Linked DNA regions of Neodiprion lecontei. The protein of the gene in region 1 interacts with the protein of each later gene in a pairwise test. Links are inferred from orthologs where the notes say so. Each region holds a gene or a part of one and is shown in the gene's direction. Other genes may lie near its edges.

What was found.
Region 2: the proteins of TRAF3-interacting protein 1 (region 1) and intraflagellar transport protein 20 homolog interact in a two-hybrid assay, tested with the Homo sapiens proteins (2 studies listed by IntAct). The link is inferred for Neodiprion lecontei from reciprocal best matches to the Homo sapiens genes TRAF3IP1 and IFT20.

What each region holds. Positions count from the first base shown.
Region 1 is NC_060263.1:6,630,756-6,637,766, reverse strand, and holds TRAF3-interacting protein 1, read left to right. Parts: upstream 1-1,654; 5' UTR 1,655-1,784; coding exon 1,785-1,919; intron 1,920-2,052; exon of another isoform or gene 2,053-2,053; coding exon 2,054-2,171; intron 2,172-2,259; coding exon 2,260-2,372; intron 2,373-2,461; coding exon 2,462-2,785; intron 2,786-3,033; coding exon 3,034-3,605; coding exon of another isoform or gene 3,606-3,618; intron 3,619-3,727; coding exon 3,728-3,856; intron 3,857-3,947; coding exon 3,948-4,191; intron 4,192-4,364; coding exon 4,365-4,490; intron 4,491-4,630; coding exon 4,631-4,716; intron 4,717-4,886; coding exon 4,887-5,037; 3' UTR 5,038-6,484; downstream 6,485-7,011. Other genes in the region: zinc finger protein 2, read right to left, coding at 154-239, 708-794, 938-1,003, 1,107-1,122.
Region 2 is NC_060264.1:1,963,378-1,968,331, forward strand, and holds intraflagellar transport protein 20 homolog, read left to right. Parts: upstream 1-1,834; 5' UTR 1,835-1,843; coding exon 1,844-1,967; intron 1,968-2,547; coding exon 2,548-2,702; intron 2,703-2,817; coding exon 2,818-2,931; 3' UTR 2,932-4,430; downstream 4,431-4,954. Other genes in the region: BTB/POZ domain-containing adapter for CUL3-mediated RhoA degradation protein 3, read right to left, coding at 1-167, 259-571, 688-940; probable protein phosphatase CG10417, read right to left, coding at 4,820-4,954. UniProt on the Homo sapiens protein: Part of intraflagellar transport (IFT) particles involved in ciliary process assembly. May play a role in the trafficking of ciliary membrane proteins from the Golgi complex to the cilium.

The sequences.
Region 1 (7,011 bases):
TCTTTACGTTGTAAAGACTAGCACAGAAAAGCTTGATGTTGAATTTAAGTATAATCACATAAAATTGGTTTTAATAAAAGGTATGGAATACTAATTTGCTCAGTTCTCGTTACAGCATACTTATTAGGATACAGAAATGGTAACTGAACTTACATCTTCTGATTTGAATATACGGCGACAGGTAACACATTCGTAGTCTGTTATAATTTCAATTATATGATCAGTTTCGTCTGACCCAGCTGTAATGGAAACACATGTATTAGTATAAAAAACTTCATCTGTAACAGTAACTTACTAAGTCATTGATATTTACATTGCTCATTTAAAAAAATATCTGATCAACTTTAGTAGTAAAGAACTACTTGACAATGTTATCGAATATGGGATGCTCATCATTGTAAGTAAATCAGATTCGAAAACTACTTGTGACGTCATTCGCAAAAGCCATCTCAAATTCTAGAATCCCACTTTGTGTGACACATAGAATAACTGATATTTTTTGCATGTTTTTGAGTCAATTATTATTGAAGAATTAATTGTATCCAATTTTTTGCCTAATAACTTATTACCATTTCAAAGGAGCCGCCTTTCGTGTTATTAAATAAAAATTCTACGTCAATGTATATTATGATGTCAATGTACATTAGTACGCATGTATTGAATTATATACGTATACATAATAATTGTTTGAGGTGCTAAAAATACACTCATTTTATCCTTACACTGTCCGTTGAGTAGTTCAATCTCCTCCTGAGCATCTGCAGCCTGTATGGCATTTTCGTTTTGTGAGTCGCCTACAATAGAAATCAAACAGGTGTTGAACAGATGGTTAGTTTACCCGTCTATCGTAGAAAATTTTATTTGTATTACAGAAAAGATACGTAGTAATAGAATAACAGTATTAACAATCACTTTCGGCAACTACGCCACTACATACCAAACAATAGTTCAACAGCCTCCTCGACATTCCCTGACGGGACGGGATGTTCTATCTTTACGATTTCTGTAACAGACAACATGTATAATGGCGTGAATTCGTCGATTTAACCAAAATATACGTATGAACGAAAGGCACCGATTGGTAATCATCGGGGACGGGTAATTACCTATAACACGCGGCATGCTTTCAGTCTAACGGGAGAGAATCTCCCTGACATCCGACGCAGCGATGATCAATGGTTTTCCAGATCTCTTTACTTGCAACCTCGCACTACGATACCTGTGATCTAGACGTTGCTCAGCGTGTTTGTTTCATGTACAAAACACTTTATTATCCTAAATCTAAACAGCAATACCAGTTTGTGTTTCAGTTTGGAATAAATAATGTGTCAATATTAAAGTAAGACTGGGAAAAAATGTATAAACACGAACATTTGCCCCTGATGGAACGTCCACCTTGGGACACGACGCATTACAAAATGGCCTACATAAAGGGGCACGCCTTTGTGAAGCAAAGATTCTCAATTCCGAAGATATTTTGATGAAAATAACATGAGCCAAAAGGGAATTTTATTTTCAAATGCTATAACCATCGTTAATTTTATAAGAAATATCGTATTTTTCTTTATCGCTAAGCTTTTTTTCACAATTCAATTCGAGTTTGTAATGTTGGCTGCCCTGCGCGTGACGAGAGGAAGGCATTTCAGTGGAGGAAGATCACGTGGTTATAGATCTGATCACGTGATCCGTCGCCAACAGCAACCGATACGTATACAACATCGCCCTGTCAAATCTATTTCAACATTTGAAACGTCGTATTTTATTTCCATAATATATAATAGAAAATGACGGAAGACGTAAAGCCGGAAGTAATTAAAAAAACTCAAGATATTCTCGGGAAATATTTTAAAAAACCACCACTCACGGAAAAATTGTTAAAGAAACCACCTTTTAGATTTCTACATGATATAGTCTCATCGGTAATACTGTTAGTTAATATTACGCGCTTTTTTACATTTAATTCATTTTTCATAATTGCTCACCCTTATTTAAAATAAAAACTTTGAAATTATTCTGCTAATTTATTGTGCTTAACGTTCTTATAATGTTAAAGGTAATTAGAGAAACTGGATTTCTCGATGGTCTTTTTACAGAAGATGAATTGAATTCCGAAAATATAAAAGACAAAGACTCCAAGCTTGCGTATTTAACAAAACTGATTGACGTTGTGAGTAAGTGAAACGAAGACACAAATTATCTAGATGGTCATATTTTTCCTGATTATTCTAGATAGCTAACATAATAAGTTAAACATTTCAGAGTTGATTACTGGAAATAACCTCATGGTACGACCCAGTAAGATCATCGCTGGACATGAACCCACTCGAACCAATGAGTTACTGCAAGCGATTGGAAAAGCCCTTGACAAAAAGGTATTCACAATAATTTCTAGTTATTCGTAAAATGGTAAACCCAATGTTCAAAATGGTATCACTGTGTAATTGTTTATCTTTCACAATAGATCAGCAGCGCAGAAGCAATAGAGCACTATAAAAATAGTAATGGTAGATCTAAGGGGCCAGTGAAATCAAAACTGGTTGCTAAAGATGAGTCTAAGAAGCCAGTGTCTAGACAGTCTTCACAATCTAGAAAACCAGTGGAAAAAGAGAAGCCTCCGATTGATCAAAAGAAAAAGTCTACAAGCACCAGCAAAAATGCACCCAAAGAAGTTAAAACCCGTGCTGAGAATAGACGAGAAAAACTACACGAACAGGAAAAAGAGAATAAAGCAAAAAATAAGGGTGGGGATAAAAAAGAAAAGATCGTTGAAATTCCTTCTGCTGAGGTAAAGAGATGTTGATATAGGAGTTAGAGTAGATAATCTATTTTAGATATAGGTTGAGCGTCGTATTTTGTTTACCTTTTGTATCGTAGAGCCTTTTCTTTTTTTACTTTGATCGATAAGAAAGTATTTTCTTCCATTGTTTTGAACACCGCCATGACGATTTTATAAAAGATTTAGTCATTTGACAAACATATTATCCATAACTCTTGTAATGTCGCCCAATGATTGTATAACTAAATTATTTTTAGTCCAAGGAAGAAAAACGGCCATCTTCGGTGAGGCGACAAAGACGCTCAGCGTCAGTTCAACCCAAGGAAGATCCTTCATCACCAAGAACGTTAGACTCCCCAAAAACCAAACCTGCTTTATCAGATTCAACAAATTCACCTACTCATAAAATGACGGAATCTTCGTTGCGTAACACCAACTCGCCGATAGACAAGCAAGTAAAATCGCAACAAGGTAATAACCAAACGGAACAACCGCCTGATAGAATATCAGAACCAGAAACAAGACAATCTGCTGAAATAAGGGGAAAAACAAGCGCGAATGATGATGGTTCTCGTAGAAGCTCACATTCTGATGGTAGGACAAAGAGAAGTGCAGAAAAAAACTCAGCTCCCTTAGAAGGTGAATCGAAACCGAAATCTTCAGCTGGGAACAAAGTAAGAGAAGCAAGTAGCCTGCTGTCACCAAATCATAAATCATCGAAATCAGATACAGTACCAAACAAATTACAAAAACAGTATACGTTTGAGCATCCAGGTTCTCCACCACCAAAGCCTGCAGGTCCCCCAGACGATTCTGCAAATACAGCAATGTCAGTCTAATAAGTATATAGTTCAATATTAATGAATAGCTCGATAGTGTTTTTATAATCTGGTAATGAAACGAAAACAATGTTTGTAAAGTTTTCAAACTATTACTGTGGTTTGCTTATAGAGTTCCTGAGACGACAGTAGTGAGATCAAAAACTTCACTGCGTCCTCCCAGTGCCAGGCCAATGAGCGCTAGACCTGCAGCTCCTAGGATGCGATCAAAAACTGAATTCATTTTAAATGAAGATATAACGTAATCCTAAGGATCATTGGTTATTGATAATAAAGTAATTAGACATTAACACATATGTATTTTTTTCTAATGTGCTTTTTTTTCATTTCAGAACTCCAATGGGCACTGTTAATGTAATCGTAGAAAATTTTGACACAAAAGAGGAAGATGACGTTGATGATATGGTTGTAATGGAGACAGGTGGGAGTGGGGATTCCCTAAACATCGATGGATTAGCTAGGACTGAAAGTCAGCTTTCGGAAGAACATGGACATCTGGTAGCTCAAATTTTGGAGACTCAAAGAGAGTTAATCAATACGGACAACGTCGATGTTATGCCCAAGAAGGTGGAGATTGTGAGCATATTTGAATATCTGATCACATACTGAACATCACGTTTAACCGGCTAAGTTTTCAAGTCCCCGCTACTTTCTCAAATCAATCTTCTGATGCACCAGTATCTCAGACCAGTAGTATCTGAGTATATTTCCAAATCCATAGAATAAAATTCACGTGTATATTGTTATAGGAATGGGAAGCAGGATCAAGAAGAGATCGTGAAACAGCAATAAAAGAAATTGATAAATTGCGAAGTTCTATTCAAACTTTGACGCGAGCGACAAACCCACTGGGTAAACTCTTGGATTATTTACAGGTAAAAAATTACTTTTGTAGTTATATAGCATTTTGATTGAGACCATACAAGGCTGCAGAAAATTACGTCCATTTTATTCATTTGCAAAGATACAGTCTTTTCAACCTGCATGCATTCAACGACCTGTATTTGCTTAACAGGAAGATGTAGAGATGATGCAGAGGGAACTCCATGAATGGCGAAGTCAATATAATCAATTGAGTGAACAATTACGCCAGGAGCAAATGTGAGTAAATAATAGTCGACAACTATCTCCATTCATCAGCGCACCTATAATTACTCAGTATTAAAAAATTATATAATATTTAAACAGCACTGTCGCACTCTTGTTAAAGCAGTAATAATATTCCAAATAATTATATAAAATACGCATAAATTTTGTTATTGTTATGACAGCTCAACAGAGGAGTTTATAGAACCCATGAAAGGAACTCTCAAAGACATCGAAGGTAATATCAAAGTTCAGTTGGATAAAATACGCCAAGTAAAAGCTGGGATAATGAAAAATGATCAGAAGATACAGAGATTGCTCAATGGACATTTGTAGGAAACTAATTACTAACTTGGTATCGTAAGATGGATAATTCAACAAGCTCGTACCAACTGCGTATTAACTTATTCTCATACATGATACTACAATAGATACAAACATTTTACGTTGGATGCAATAGAAATACCAACATGTAATACAGCTGCGATATAACATGACAAATAGTATTTCATAATCTTTGTTTTATTGATTATCTGTATTAATTATAACAAATTTTACTAAAATAATAGCGACAACTAAAGTACACAGTGTTGCAGACCAAACCGATTGTATGAATATCTGCCGTGTTGCATTTCAGGTACTAAATTGTAAGACTTGTGAACGCCACAAATTATAAAAATTTGGCAATCATTTCACGCTTACATGCGTTCTCTGCTTTCTTTTTTGGTCAGTGCAGAAGGAATCTATGTCGAGCTAATTGCATGTATTGCTATTTTATTTAATATAAACTTGTATCGTCCAACAAATTAGGTCATTTATAGTAATATAGTTTACATATTTATTTGGATGACAGTAATACCATACTATAGCATAATATTATGACGATGTTTATAGACTATATCTAAGATTGCACCAAGTAACAAGGTTTTTTTTTTCTTTTGTTTTTTTTTACACTTTATGCGATAGATTAAAGCAGAATGGACATTTTTTATTATAACGAATGTAACCAGAGTGACGAACTCACTGGTGAGTCCTAATGAACCATAATTGAAAAGTGTACCGTGCATCCTTGGCATATGACAATTAGAATGTAAGTGCAAAATGCTATGTAAAAATTGCTTGGTATGCAGTCGATACACCTCAATTATGAAACTTGGCAAGCCATTAGCATGCTCCTTTCTAAGGAAATTGTCCTACATACAGGTGTAAATATTGTACCTATTTTCACAGCTATAATCCTAATGAATCATACAGCTCGTGATGTCAATTTCAAAAGATCATGCTCAGTTATTTAAGTAGTCTTCTTGTTAAGTTTTATAAAGTCTGATAATAAACAGAAGGCAATCTCCTGGAGATCGGGCGAAGGACAAGATTTTGAAAACCAATAATTGTTCTGTAACATAATTATAATTCTGACTATAAAACTTTTCCATAATTATAATTAATATTTTTTACAGTAATTGTTTATGCGTATTATTCGCAAGGTAAATGTTACTTTGCCCAGCAAACAAAACAGAACCAGTTGAATCAGAACTTATACACATAGATACATACATTGTACAGTAATTACAAATTATTCTATGTAATTTATAGTTCATGTACACGTTTTTATGATTCTTTACAATATTATTTTCTTTTCTATGAATATAGACTTACCTATATACACCTTTGTATATCATTATGTATAATAATATAACAGTTTATTTTTGTGCAAACATAGAAATTTACATTACAAAAATGATCTATGTCCATACATTATTATGCAAGGGCTTCTCAGTTTTCATTTTCTAAAAAAAAAAAACCGTAGTAAACTAAAGTTTATATTGGAAACACATACTGAGATGAAAGAATAATTTTTTTGCGAAATTTTGAAGTTCTTACCTAGTTTGTTATACAAAGATTACAGATATTTTGCACTTATATAAAATAATATATTGTATATTTATATTTCATACGCGAGGAAAGTAAAAATAAATAGGTATTTGTTACTGAGTAATTATAACATTCGAGTAAATATTATTTATATTCAATTTGGTTTCAACAGAATTAAGTTTCTATTTCATTTCTGCTGATACTTAAATGAATCTATTCTTCTTGCAAATTACTGCGTAAAACAAGAAAGCTAATTTTAAAAACTTGCAGAAAGTAAAATAAATTCGGCGGAAAATAACAGTGGCTACCTTTTCTTCAAAATAACTTACTAATTCGTTAAATTGAATAGTGAACTGCATAATTTTTCAGCTTAACAATTTTACCAAGCATCAAATGTATATATTCTTTATAATGTATGGATATTTTATAATCTATTAT
Region 2 (4,954 bases), on another chromosome or scaffold:
TAGAATGACAACAAACTTCGGCAACCTTACGACCATGTCCATAAAAAGTCCAGCAACAAATTTCACTCGACCCAATTACGTCCTTAATGAACAAAACCCTGCCGCTAAATCTGAGCGACATCTTGTCAAACAGTTCTATATTTTTCAAAAGATTGTCATCTGATGTACTGTAAATAGAAACGAATGGGTCATATGATTGCTTTCCAAAAAAAATTTTAAAAAGCGAAAAAAGCCAAGCTGTTTAAATCTGTCTCCTACCTCGTGTAAGAGTACTTGTTGTTGTGACGATTAATCAGCAATTTAACAACAGGTTTTGTTGTGTTGCTGATAAGGAGTTGCTGCTCACGTTGGGAGGTGATAAGTGGAACCCTGCAGATGGGTTCAGCCTCCCGCTCCTTCCGCTGGAGCGCTTGTTCGCACGACTCAGCCAGCTCGCCGATGCAATAATACTTTGCCTCGGCCAGCAGCTCTGCCATCTCCTTCACACTCTCAGGTAGCGGAACTGAACCGTCCCGCAAAAAGTTTAAGATCGTGCCAAAGTGCTTGCCACACCGATCGATTAGGATCCAGCCTGTGAAAACGAATAATAGTAAATAAAAAGAAAGTAGGGAACTTGGGTGATTTTAAAATTTGTACACCATTTCATTTGGAATTGCCTTTTGGAAAGAGGCATGAGCGGCTCCTCACCTTCGCAATCTGTAAGAACCTCCATCCGACCGCTAAACATAGCTCGCAACATAGTGTCATGTTTGGTGAGCGTGCCAATGGTGGTGTAATGAAGGGAACCGCCAATGTTTAATTTGACGTACTGCGACGGGTTTCCTTTCATGACAGTTTTGTGATCCCCCGACATAACGATTTCGCCGCCAGGTATTAACGCGGCCGCGGATGATGACGATGATGGTGATATGTTAATTGTATCGAGCGTCAGACTCAACATTTAAGACATGAGCAACAGAATCGTTGCTTGTTAATAGACCGGAAATTTTATTAAAACCTGCGTAACTAAGGTTATTTACAAATACAAGTTGGATTCGCTGATCAACAATAACAGCGAATTTAATACGATGTGATTTTAGGTTATAATCACTGTAAACCAAATCGAGTCATTTCGACCTCGTGATGGTTTCCTATGTCTTATCTAATTATACGAATTGTATTAAATTCTTATCCGCGGCACAATTCATTCGATATTCTCATGGTCACTAAACAAAAATTCCTTTTAATAAACCAAAAAAAAAAAAAACACTATTTATATGTTTTGCCCCATGTTGGAGACGTGAATATGATACGCGTATGAGAATGTATGCGAGCATTATGCATGAGTGTAACTCGCTTGTGTTAACAGGCTTGGGTAACGATATCCTAACGAAGAGAGTCAGCCTTATGATGATACGTGTTTCAACAAAATTTAACAGCGAGCTACACCGGCTAATATGCATTTTACAATGCCGACATCGTCAACTGACATACCGACAAAGCGTGTTGTCTTTTTCTAGCTGGCGCATTCAAAAGGGAGGGAAAATTTAACGTTATCGATAAAACGCCGGCTGACGTTTTTCTTAACCGACCAGCACCCGAAAATTATAGCCCGTTATGAATGCCGGAAAACCAAGTTTTGAGCAGGTTTTATAAACTTTCACTGCTTTTCGCTATACATGTTGTCTACTTCACCATTCCTTTACACGCGCAATAGCTTAATTGTCGTAGATAATTGTAATGAAGGAAGATTATCGGTCGGCTAAGAAAATGCATAGTACCGCCTTAACTCGCCCGGCACCTGCGCGTAAAGCAATTGCAATATACACATGCATACGTCATGAATCACATCTGTTTGACGAAAATGGCCGACTCGCTGGGAAAATATGGGTTATTCATCGATGATTTGAGCAAGATACGGGTACTGGAGCCAGAAATATCGAATCAAACAAATAAATTGAAAGAGGAGTGTCAGAATTTTGTTTCCAGTAAGTGACAAGCAGATATAAAAGCACAAAAGGGATCAATCAGCGTGACAGCGATTGACAGCGGTTCCAATGGCACATGCACACAATTAAAATCGTCCATAATAAAAACATCAATACAGAAAAATATACTTGTTATTAAAATCTTATTCGATTCACTTACCTCTATTAAAATTTATTTCACAACCCTCGAGACGTTTATTAAAATACAATTCCCATCAACGCGCTCGTTATCAACGAATATCCTTGCTTGTTATAACTTTGTAAATCGCGCAGACTGCCATCTTTATTATTTTACGCAGACTAAAAAGTTGATGTGTGCGTATATGTTTAGCCTTATACACACTTCGAAGTTCGATTAGAGCTGGTGTAAAAATAAACTGAATCAAGTAGAATGCATTATAGAAATTGTACATTATGAATTACGACGGATTTAACGGTTGTCCTTTTTTCCGAAGAAAATGGATTGATTTATCGTAGGAACCGTTTCGATAGCCCCGTATAGCAACGAGCGAGAAAGCGAATGGAGTACAGCATAAAGTACGAGTGCAATTATTGTTCTAATCCTGGGTAAAATTTTTAGAAATAACAGAGTTCCAAAAGAGTTCCGACGACTTCATTCAGATCGTCGACAATTTGGCGAATGAAGTCGAAAAAGAAAAGATGCGGACTATAGGGGCGCGTAACTTGTTGCGCTCAGTCGCTAAACAGAGAGATGCACAGAGACAGCAAATTCAGGTGTACATCATGAATTACAATTAAAGTTTTCAATCATTACCATTAATTTTATCGTATGCAACGAACGACAACAATGTACTAAACACGCGGTGCGTGTGTTTTGTTCTATTTCTAGGCTCTTATAATTGAAAAGTCAACGGAACTGGAGCGGCTACGGGTGCAGTACGATTCATTGAAAAAAATCGAACTGGAACAACTAGAAACTATAGAGCAATTGACCGCGAATTGATGTTAAAATTTTTTATCGGCATTATTCATATTTATCTTCTATTTCCTTTATGCATATTCTTTATTCCGTGTGACTTTTTCAATGAGGATTGTAGCATACAATTATAAACACTGTTATCAGCTGGTGTATACAATATTATGATGGTGTAATTAATGAAAAATACAAGAGGGTGGTATTTGGGCTGAGCATATAGATAAATTACAGTAATTACACAACGAAGAGAAACGGAATTAAGATCCAAAACAATGAATAATAATAGATAGAATAATTGACGAGTTTTTTTTTTTTCTCCCAAAATTACATAAATCATGTGTGATGTAATTATTTTTAAAGGAAAAACTCATAGCGAGATGTGTATGCCGTGCGTGTGTATACATATACATTGCTGTATATATACATACGTACGGACTACATAAAATTATAACATAATAATTAAACACGGAAATAAACGGGCTTTGGGTTACTGGCTCTATTTAACCTATCTGCATACTGCACCACATATAATTTGAAAAGGCACACGTTCAAGGATCGCCTTCCCTCTCTTAACTGTTCAATATTACTCGTTATTGAGCATTTCTTCATTATTACATACACGGTCAAATTTAATACTTCAATCCGTATTTAATTTTTGACATTCAAGATTAACAACAGGCGATTCTCTTTTATCTATTTTTTTTTCATTTGTTTGTAGTTTACAGTAGATGCCATGAACCGCAATTTATTCGATGATCGAGTGGATTGTTAAACATCGTTCATATTTCGCTTCAAAGCGAAGAACAGAAAAAAAATTGTATTTTACGTCAACAACTTAGACCTATTAAGATTGGATTATTATCATCATCATCATCAACGTTTGTAGATAAAAAAAATGTACATAACGTATATTTTTTCATTCTCTTATAACAATAAAGTTATTTTAAAAGAGAAAAATAATCATAAAGATTTACTGCAAACAGTATTCATTCATTACTACCAGCACTGAACTTAATTCATGTAGACACGTAGTCAAGGGCAATTATATTAATGATAAGAATGATAATTATAATAAGAATAATAATAATGAGAAATAGATTAAACTAGATAACATTATAGTCACGCAACCATCCATACAACCATATAGTAACCAGGAATTCAAAAATAAACTTTATTTAGTAAAAATAAGAAATGGTGTCGTATTGAATTACAAATATTATTATTAATCCTACATCCTAGATTTATAAATATGTACAGTTACATACCTATTACACCTGTAACCTAGAAGAACTCTCAGTTGAGTACACATCATAAGAGTAGATTGGAGCAGATAGGAGAATCTAATTCCATTTCCTCTCGTTAAGTTTGCCACATCTTTTTCACACAACGGTTTGCGATAATCAAATGTTCCATGCACGCATCATATATATTAATATGCCGCGACACTGAAGCTATAACATATTATGTTGTTTTCTGATCCTCAGATACCCATTAAACTCGAAAGGCAACAGATTTATTTAACAATGTCTCATTAAAAAAAAATTTAAAACAAACTCTATAAGCGTCAGCCCCCAATCTGCTCCAATCAATCAGTCTGCCACCATTGTTCAACACTAACGATTATTGCAATCCTCCAGACGTGACGGTTTTACACTATTACTATTATTATTCATCATTCATCCGTTCGTTCTGTGTATGTTCAATCATAAAATAACTATTATACTGAGAATTTCGCCAATTTCTCAATTTATTAAGTCCACAGTTTTTGTCGGTTTTTACCTTTATTTTTTTTACCGTTTTTGCAATTCAAGTTTCACACAGCAGGATTTCCAAAACTTTACAACGGCCGTATTATTATCATTGTGTCACTCTCAAGAGGTTGCAGAGATACGTTAGTGAAGCTTAGCATAACTTCCTAGACAGTCTCGGTCTTTTGACGCTTAGATTCTGGCGTCGTTTCTTCACCTGTGGATATGTTACCTTCGTTTGCCAAAGGAATTGGTGATGCCGGTCTTTTCTTATTCTCCGTTGCGATTGATGTCATATCAGA